Nothobranchius furzeri: one gene and its partner. The protein of the gene in region 1 purifies or fractionates together with the protein of each later gene. This does not show direct contact. Links are inferred from orthologs where the notes say so. Each region holds a gene or a part of one and is shown on either strand. Other genes may lie near its edges.

What was found. The genes of interacting proteins can lie anywhere in the genome.
Region 2: the proteins of dcaf13 (region 1) and fbl purify together in Homo sapiens (affinity purification with western blotting; 3 studies listed by BioGRID, with this or other methods). This does not show direct contact. The link is inferred for Nothobranchius furzeri from reciprocal best matches to the Homo sapiens genes DCAF13 and FBL.

The regions. Positions count from the first base shown.
Region 1 is NC_091745.1:51,875,936-51,880,514, forward strand, and holds the start of dcaf13 (DDB1- and CUL4-associated factor 13), read right to left. Parts: upstream 3,240-4,579; 5' UTR 3,111-3,239; coding exon 3,041-3,110; intron 2,774-3,040; coding exon 2,574-2,773; intron 2,479-2,573; coding exon 2,371-2,478; intron 1-2,370. Other genes in the region: slc25a32b (solute carrier family 25 member 32b), read left to right, coding at 3,985-4,183, 4,354-4,504. UniProt on the Homo sapiens protein: Part of the small subunit (SSU) processome, first precursor of the small eukaryotic ribosomal subunit.
Region 2 is NC_091745.1:58,450,310-58,455,219, forward strand, and holds the start of fbl (rRNA 2'-O-methyltransferase fibrillarin), read left to right. Parts: upstream 1-1,684; 5' UTR 1,685-1,804; coding exon 1,805-1,814; intron 1,815-2,602; coding exon 2,603-2,713; intron 2,714-3,082; coding exon 3,083-3,226; intron 3,227-4,910.

The sequences.
Region 1 (4,579 bases):
AAGACCCACTTTTACGACTTGGCTTTTAGACCGTGACTTGTTTTAGTGTTTTATTGGTTTCTTAGTATTTATCCTTTTTTTATTTGCTTTTATTGATTGGTATTTTTATCTTCTGATTTTGTTGCTTTGATTGGTCGTGTTTTGGTCTAGTCAGTGCGGCACTTTGGACAGCTCCTATGCTGCGTTTTACATGTGCTGTATAAATTAACTATGGTATGGTAGGTTGGCAACGTTCATGTGCCTCTAAGAAGCTGTACCACCTTGAGTCACGTAAAAATGTGACTAGACTTAATACACGTGACAGCCCCATCTAGTGGACAACTTTTGTTTCTGCACATTCCTGTAGTTATACCCATTTACCGTTATTGAGGTGAAATCCTCAATATATTGTGATACTTATTTTAGGCCATATCACCCTGCCTTAGAAGAAAGGCTTTTAGCGCTTCTTTTTGTGGTTTTAGAGACAAGTTCATGTCCTTTAAAACAGAGGAAAGAGCCGCAGCGAACTCCGCCTCAGACGCCGTCTTTACTGTTTATTGTTTAGCACTGAGCAGCGTTGCGGTGTGTGACAAACGCTGCTCAGTGCTAATTGGCTGGGTCAGAATTCTCAGGGTGTGGGTTTTTAATGGGTTTGTTACCAGGCCCTTTGGAAGCACTGGCCAGGCTACTGAATTATAGCCATTTAAACAAAGTCCAGCCTTGCTTGTGTTTGGAACCAAACTGTAATTTAATAAAGCTAATAATTACTATGCATTACATTAGTGTATGACGTCTTTCTTTGAGACTGAAAGTGATTTTCAGACTTTGACTTTCCTTGAAGAACATTCAATTCCCATTCCAACATTCACTATTTTCTAGCTGGTTTTATTTGTCTGGAATTTATTACACTCTCACTGACACCACTATTGTTAAAGTCAGAAGTTTTTGGCTCCACTTAAATTTGAATAAATGCATTTGTTCTGACAGATGGCTAAATTAAATGAACTTCTGAAGCATTTTTGAATGAAAGTGGTGATTTCAGTACTGGATTCAGTTGAAAGATTTGTTTTGTTTCATTCATAAAAATTGTATTAAATTTAATTTACTGCATCTTACTAAAATACCTTACTTTAAACACTTCAATAAGTTTTTTAGAATTGCATCCAAAACTCACTAAATCATAATCAAACCATGACATGTAACCCCATCTCCGACATCAGATTACAAAAAACATCCTCTTGACCAACTGATCTAATAATCAGATTAGGACTGAAACAGGTGAGGGGTCATAGAAAAAGAGAATAGGCAGCCTAAGTCACGCCCATCTACTTCCAGACTGTGGATCCCTGTAAGAACAAACAAATGTATGCAAGTCAGTGGGGCTATAAGTTATTTTCTAATTGTGTGCCATGGATTTCACATATGATCCGTGAATTTTAATGACACATTCTGATATTAAGAAAGCTCTTTTTTTTTCGAGTAGGAAAAAAAGTTATTTTAGATTTTGTGTGAAAATATGTCCAGGACTACGAATGTGCATCACCAAACTGCGACATTGAATCAGAAATGGAGAAGAGCAGAGGAAAAATGGCTGTAAGTTCAGTGAACTTCAAATCCTTCCTTCAGGAGGGAAGAACCACCATAAATGTTGTTGGTTTTATTGCTGTAAAGTGTTTTTGTGTTCCTTGAAAGGTGCTTTTAAATAAAATGCATTATTATTATTATAAATTTGGCCATGTGGTAGGTAGCAGCTAGGCTGGGGGGAGGAGATTCTGTGGTGATATGCAACATACCTTCTGATTTGTAGTGACAGTAATTACATATTTTTACAAGCTGATAAATCATGACTGGCGTGGTCAAAACACACAATCATTACTTTTCATTTAAATTGCAGTGCAGTAAATGGGCAGCAGTAGCTCAACAGGTTGAGGGGTTGTATAGTAATCGGAAGGTTCGATCCCGGCTCCGGACAGACAATTCTGCTGTTGTGTCTTTGGGCAAGACATTTAACCCACCTTGCCTGCTGGTGGTGGTTTGAGGGATCGGTGGTGCCTGTTCTCGGCAGCCTCGCCTCCGTCAGTGCGCCCCAGGGCAGCTGTGGCTACATTGTAGCTCATCGCCATCAGTGTGTGAATGTGTGTGTGAATGGATGAATGATACACTGTAGTGTAAAGCGCTTTGGAATCCTTACTCTGACAGGAGCTATACAAGTGCGGGCACATTATCATTTAAATGTGCGATCCAGGGCGTAAGGAAAAGCAGATTAGAAAGTAGCTCCTCTAGCCCTGTTCACTTGCATTCATTTTACCGTTCTTCAAGGGACTCATGAGCTGACCGAAAAGGGAGGAGACTTGGGCTCCCTAAGCTTCCAGATGTTGATAAACATTTTACCGTAAAGAAGGAGGTTCCACAGTATCTGACAACCACGCCACGAATAAAACCTTCATGTGCCTGCAGGGTGCGGACACATTCACGCTTGGTGAGATCCCAGACTTTCAGCTAAAAAAAGTGAAATCAAAGGAAAGACAACATTTACTGAAAGGATTTCAGATTAAGGGAGGTTATGAAGTTCTGGTGATCGGCTGATTATTCACCTCGCCATCACAAGAGCCTGACAGCAGGGTGGAGAGGCTCTGGGTATGTTTTGCCAAACAATTGACACCATCTCTGTGACCATCCAGTGAAGCCAGGAAAGGCTTTGCAAACACCCGCTCCAACTTAGTGGCATTCAGAGCCCGTGTGTACTCTCTGCTCACCTCGAACGGATGAAGGGATGGGTCATAGTTTCTAGGGACTGACAAATAAATTTTAAAAAAGTGTCTTTAAGTCAAAAACACGATGTAAATAACAAAATCTTCTTTCTACAATCACAAAAACAAACAGAGCTTGCAGTATAAGTGAGAACTAATATATTAGAGAATTAATTAAATGTTCAATTTAAACCGACTATAGTAATTCCCCAGAACAAACAGTTGTGCTATCTTAATGTTGTTGCTACATGGACGTAAACAGACTGTGGCTAGCTACGTTAGCATCTCGCAGATAAATATCCAACACTTACCACGCTGAATGTCTAGTTTAGTCTCCCGGACATAGTCGTCCGGGTTTCTTGAGAGAACTTTGACTTTCATTTGGAAGCGAAAAACAACATAAGAACTTTAGAAAATGTTTAATTTCGTTAAGACTACTGTCTTGGACATGCAACCATGTGTAGATAGTTTAGCGTAGAAGGAGTTCCGCGTTGCATTGTGGGATGGCTGGTCCTCCTCGTTGCATCATCAAGAAATTTTAATCAAGTTCAAGATTTCATATAAACAAAGAACCGGAAGACTTCATTTTGGCTTACTTTTTATTTTTAAGTTTACAATAAGCTTAAGCAGTGTGCATATGAAACTGGATTTTTTGAATAATTTCGTTGCTTGTCTGTTCATATCCTTTTTGTCTAAATAGATAAACAACTTAAATAATCTAAATGGTGTGCTCTACACAAAAAATGAAAGAGTGGTCACATGGTAAATAATAAATTATAAAATCATTAAGACAAACCAGCCTTGTCTTAAAATAAAAAATAAAAGCAATAATCACATCAGTGAAGATAAAACTAAAAGCAATTTTAATGCTTCTAAACGCTTCAAATTGTGTCAAAATTTATGAAAGAAAAAAATATGTCCTGGTTCAAAAAAGTTTGTATTTTATTTTGAAAAATATTCGGAAACCTTGTTTCAACAACAGCAACATTGACGCTTACGTACTCCGCAAGGTCGATGAAGCAGGGCTGTCATGTTGAAGAAGTACCTTTAGGGAATTTCGCCTCTTGTTAGAAACCTGTTTCAGTTTGTGGCATGCATTAATATGCGTGTTGTAGTTAAATGCTGCGGTGGCTTCAGTCAGTTGTCTCGATGTTTTGGAGCAAGCTGGAGTTTTTGGGTGATACGAGCTGCGCGCGCTGTAAACTGAGCTGAGCTAGCTACGTTCTTTTTTTTTTTTTGTTTAGCTTTTGCGAGCATGAGTTCTGCTCCTAAACACGGTACCGCTGCCGAGACAGAGCTGTCCAACAAGTCCATGTCCGCTGTCACTGTAACCGGAAGCCTCCAGAAAGTCTTCAGCCATGTGAGAATAGAAAACCTGGTGGCAGGACTCAGCGGTGGAGTTGTGTCGACGCTGGTGCTTCACCCACTAGACCTCGTCAAGATCAGGTTTGCAGGTATGTCTAGAGAATACACAGTAAAGCTAGTTTCTTTTCTCTTATTATTCGTGCACAGCCCTTGTCCACATGTGGCTTTATCTGCTCTGGCAGGTTTATTTTAAAACACCTGCACAGAGCTTAGTTCATTACTTTTGCCATAACATAATTTGAACGTCTGTCTAACGCAGTGAGTGATGGCCTGGAGCTGAGACCTAAGTACAGCGGCATGTTTCACTGTATGAAGAGTGTGTGGCACCAGGAGGGACTGAGGGGTCTCTACCAGGGAGTGACACCTAATGTTTGGGGTGCTGGTGCTTCCTGGGGTCTCTATTTCTTCTTGTATGTAAACTTCTGACTGTATATCTGCAGCATTCATGAGAAAGTTTGTATTGGAAGTGTTTCACTATGGGATGT
Region 2 (4,910 bases), about 6.6 Mb from region 1:
AGCTGAAAAACTACAACAGCCATACTGTTCAAACCTGTTCTTGAATATTCTACAATAATAGCAGATGGCATACAACCTTGTTTGGGATTTGTAAAACCTTTCCCTGATTTGTGAAACTTCAACAAAGCCTGATTTATGCGTTTTTTCAGCATCTGGTCAACAATGGAACAGCTGTAGCTCAAAAACTACAACAGCCACACTGTCCAAACCTGTTCTAGATTATTCTACTATAACAGTGTGGCTGTTGTAGTTTTTCAGCTAGAGCAGATGGTCAGAGTAGAGAAAAAAGAAGCTGAAATCGGAAGCTATCTTCAGACTCGTTTTTTCGTGCTTCTACGATGGAAATATTCCCTCTGCACTGAACACCGACTCCTGACCATCGACATCTATACTCTTGACAAGTTAAAGGTACAAACGTTGGGCCACCGCTCCGTGACATTTCTACGCATTTAGAGCAACAAGTAGGCTTGTGTCCAGCCTGTCCGATAACTCTTACCCTGTTGTAGTGGACTTCAGGCTGGCTGTTGGGCGCTGGGATGGCGCTGCTATAGTGACAGACTGACAGTCGGTTGAGGGGAAGAAAAGCTCGATAAAAAACTGCACGAAGCATGATGTTTTCATGCGCAGCTCTACGAGCAACAACCAGGAACTGGGCTTTACGCGTGCTTGTGTCTTTTTCAGGTCGTCAGCGCTGACGCTCTGCTGCCCCCTAAAGGCCAAGCCACTACACTGACTGACTGACTGACTGACTGAATGAATGAATGAATTAATTAAGTAATTAATTAAGTAATTAATTAAGTAATTAAAAATTACTTAGACTATGCAGTGTTTGTACAATTTTGAGCCTTAGGTCAGAGTAGCTAGTGTTATCCAAATGGAAATGGACCAAAGCCTAAACTGAGTCTTGCCCATCACAAGTTGCTACACAGCATCTGAGTTGTGTATGGTAAAATCTGACGAACGACCGAAAAAAAGGAACTTTGAACACTTCGAGCAAAAGGGGCAGGTGCTCACGACGCCTATCAAGAAGGATGTTGTGGTCCACAGATGGAGCATCACCAGAGCAGATGTTTTGCCTGAATCCTGTATTGAGACCAAACTCATTTAAATCCTTAATCAGTGCCATCTCAGTGCTGCAGTGTTGTCTAAAGTCGAACTGGAAACCAACCAGCAAGTTTTCTGTCTCCAAAAAGTTGTTCAGCTGGATCATAACTGTTTTTCAGTAATTTCCCCAAAGAGGAGATTATTGGTCTGTAGTTATTCAACACTAAATGATCTAATTTTCTTCTAGAAGAGACTTAACAGCAGTTTTCAAGGATTTATAAAAATACCTGACAGCAATTAACACTTTTCAGTACATCAGCTTTTAAGCAACTAAAACATTTTTAAGTTACCGGTAGTTGGCAGGTCAAGTAATAGGTCAAGTGCCTCGGTGCTGCAGATTCCAGATTTTCATATATTTTTCATCAGTATGTTTTTGAACCTAAACCAGTCTCTTGAACCTAAACCAGTCTCATAGTGGGTCAATGTTTCACCAGTTTGCCCACCAATGGCCGTACAAGATCACTAGAAACACTTATTCTTTTGTTGTTTTTGTCAAAGCGGTAAGGTGCCGGTCACCCTCCAGACCGCTAGGTGGAGTTAGTGCACGTACAGTTTTAGGCGGACTGCCATAAAACCGCAAAGTAGAAAACACGTTTTGAGCATGTGCACGTACGCACGCTGCTTGATCTGAACGCTGCATTCGGGAGAAAAACATAAGAATCTTAATTTTTGATCGGGTTAAGGCTGTTTTCTGGGCAACATGAGACCAGGTAGAGTACCCGTGCTTGTTACAATGACGAGTTGGACTTGTTCAACTCATGGTTTTTATTTGTCTTTACGGGCCTGGTTTGGATCGTGTGTGTGTGTGTGTCTGGCTACAGCGCCCTGCATGTCCGGGAACATTATCATGGAACGTTACCGTTCTCAGTGTTCAAGCATTAAGAAACGAATGGCTAGGATCTTAAGTGAGCTCAAGAGACACAACTGTGTTGTTAGATCAAACAATTAGACCGTATATTATCATTGTTAGTTGTAAACGGCTAAGGCACGTGCTACGGACTCACCGAAGTACGCGAGCAAAACACAGGAAAGTAAAACTTTAGTGCATCAACTCAGAAAACACGAACTGTACAACTCGTGTGTGTGGCTAGCGCGTCACCAACAGAGGAAGCTGATATTTATCAGCATGAAGAACATTAAATCCTAAACCCTTGAATGGTGAAGCCACTTTCCTCATCTAGAGGTTCCTTTGCAGCAGAGTTGAGTTTTTGCTGTTACAAAGGTTAAAGTAAAGTTCAGATTTATGGATTTTTAAGTTTAGAAAACATAAATCAATAGTTTAAAAACCTCTCTGGGTAAAATATTTTAATTGGTCTTTTTGAGATAAACTTTTAAAGATTTATTTCCAGAAAAAAACAAGTTGTCCTCAGAGGGAGATGATTGCTTTACTGTCAGTGACAAGTAAACAAGTACTATTGGCCCATATAAAAGTACAATGACATCATTTAGAGACCACTGTCTCCTGTTTAAATGTGTCTGATGTGTCCTTCTGTTTAAGGTTTTCGTGGGGACAGAGGAGGAAGAGGAGGTGGGGGACGAGGACGAGGGGGTTTTGGTGATCGTGGAGGACGTGGGGGGTTTGGTGATCGTGGAGGACGTGGAGGAAGAGGTGAGGATGCTGTCGAAGGCACAAATGTGTTAATTTTAACACCTGTGAGCTTGTTTAAACAGAAGCTAGCTCCTCTTCACCTCAGTAGGCGGGCTCTGATTGGTTCTCTCACCTAGTCTGAGTGGTCTTATGTCTGTTACTCGCATCTTTCCCGTCTTTTGAATGGGTTTTTGTCCTCGCCATCTTTAATATAATCTTTTATTTGTTCAAAAATGTCTGATCAATTTAGTCATTTATCCAAGATTTTTTGCTTCATTTAGTCCACAAAAATGTTTTGACAAAATAATTCACCTCAGTGATAGTTGATGTTAAACGTATTTCCTACTCATAAATGCAGCACAGATTCCAATGAGACATTTTGTTTTTCAGGTGGGGGGTTTCGGTCCCCTGATGGTGGAGGATTTAGAGGGAGAGGAGGCGGCCGAGGCACTCCTAGAGGAAGAGGAGGTAGGGGTGGTGGCAGGGGCTTTGGAGGAGGGAAGAAGGTCTTGATTGAGCCACACAGACACGAAGGTTTGTATTTCTGCTTTGTGATCGAACAATCCAATATTTATCTTGCACGTTAGTTAGCGATTGCTGGTCTAGAATGACCTAGTCCAGATGTGAAAACTAAGGATTGTAGTTTTAAAATTAGAGCAGGGTAAATGAGGCTCAGGGTGTCCTAAAAATCAGTTTTCTGAATCAGGAGCTAGAAATGGAAACCAGCTTCAGCTTTGTTCAGTGCTGTAGGATCATAGCTATACATTTACTTATCTGTTTTGCCCGTTGAGAATTGGCTGTATGTTTAGTCTAGTGGTGGAGTGTGTGCAGGAATGAGTAGCAGCAGCCACGGCTCCTCTTTAAGCTATGGGTAATGGTTTTAGATGTGAATTCCAGAAGTACTTGACTTCCATTCTTACCTAGAAAGTTGTAAAACCCATCGTGTGGCCAAATCCTTGCCTGCAGAGAAGACTGAGCCGGCTTCTCCATGTAGAACCATAAGGGGTGTTTCTTGATGTCAAGGCGCCTGGCCTCGAAAGGCGATGTCTGGCTAGGGCAGACGCCTTTGCTTACGAGGACACAGTCCTTCTTTGGTCAAAGAAAATGGTTAAATAGAACAGACTTGCATCATGTGACTGCAGGTGAAATGTCTTTGGAGGCGGCTTATGGTAGAGAAGTGGACATTCACTTCATGGGAAACAGCTCTAGTAGACATTCCTGCAGTCAGCATTCCAATTGCTCGCTCCCTCAAGGGTTGTGACATCGGTGGCGTTGTTTTGTTTGATCAAACTGCACATGGCAGGGTGTCCTTTTATTGTGGGCAGTAGGGATGCACCGATAGATCGGCATTTGATCGTAATCGGCCGATAGCGCCCCTATCGGTTTTGATCGGAATTTTCAAAATAGATCAAAGCAGACCGATCAGCCGTAGGGATATCACGGTAACCAGTGTAGCATTAAACCCCGGTTAAAAAAAAGTTGACAATAATAACCGTCTTGTTTTTTAAAAAACTATATTATCTTGGTGGGTTTACCGTAGCTGCGGTGTAGGCGCGGTGACCCTTACCAGCCACCGTATCATCGGCTGAAGTTGCCGGCGGCACATGCGCGCTTTGCTGTTTACAACCAAAACTTTCTTGAAGCTAAAGCTGAAATAATGGCCAAAGGAGGAGACGGCAGCGCTCAGGAGGACATTTATTATCCCTCAAAGAACGCAAAGTCGGAAGTACGGGCATATTTTAGATATTTGAAGAATGCCGAGGGAGTTTATAGAAGACGGATGGCTATCCTGTTTGCAGCACGTGCAGAAAAAGTGTCTGTGAAAGGCAGCAACGCCTCGGAGAGAGACCAACTCTTATCTGCCCCTGGGAGCCCCGTAATGCATAGCATTATTTCAACATGGCGGTGTCCGCGACACGGTTTATATGCAGGTAGCGGCACTGCGGCTGCTTTATATAGCGACTCGTTGCATTCTCCCTCAACCCAAATCCTCGGATCACGCATTTTAGCTAAAACGCTAACGTTAGCTTGCCTTACGTTGACTGTAGAGTTGTGGGTGATGGTCACGCAGATGTGTCATGAGATTTGAAGCGTTGCTGCCTTTCACAGACACTTTTTCTGCACGTGCTGCAAACAGGATAGCCGTCTTCTATCAACTGTCCCTCGGCATTCTTCAAATATCAAAAAAATGCCCGTACTTCCCACTTTGTCTTCTTTG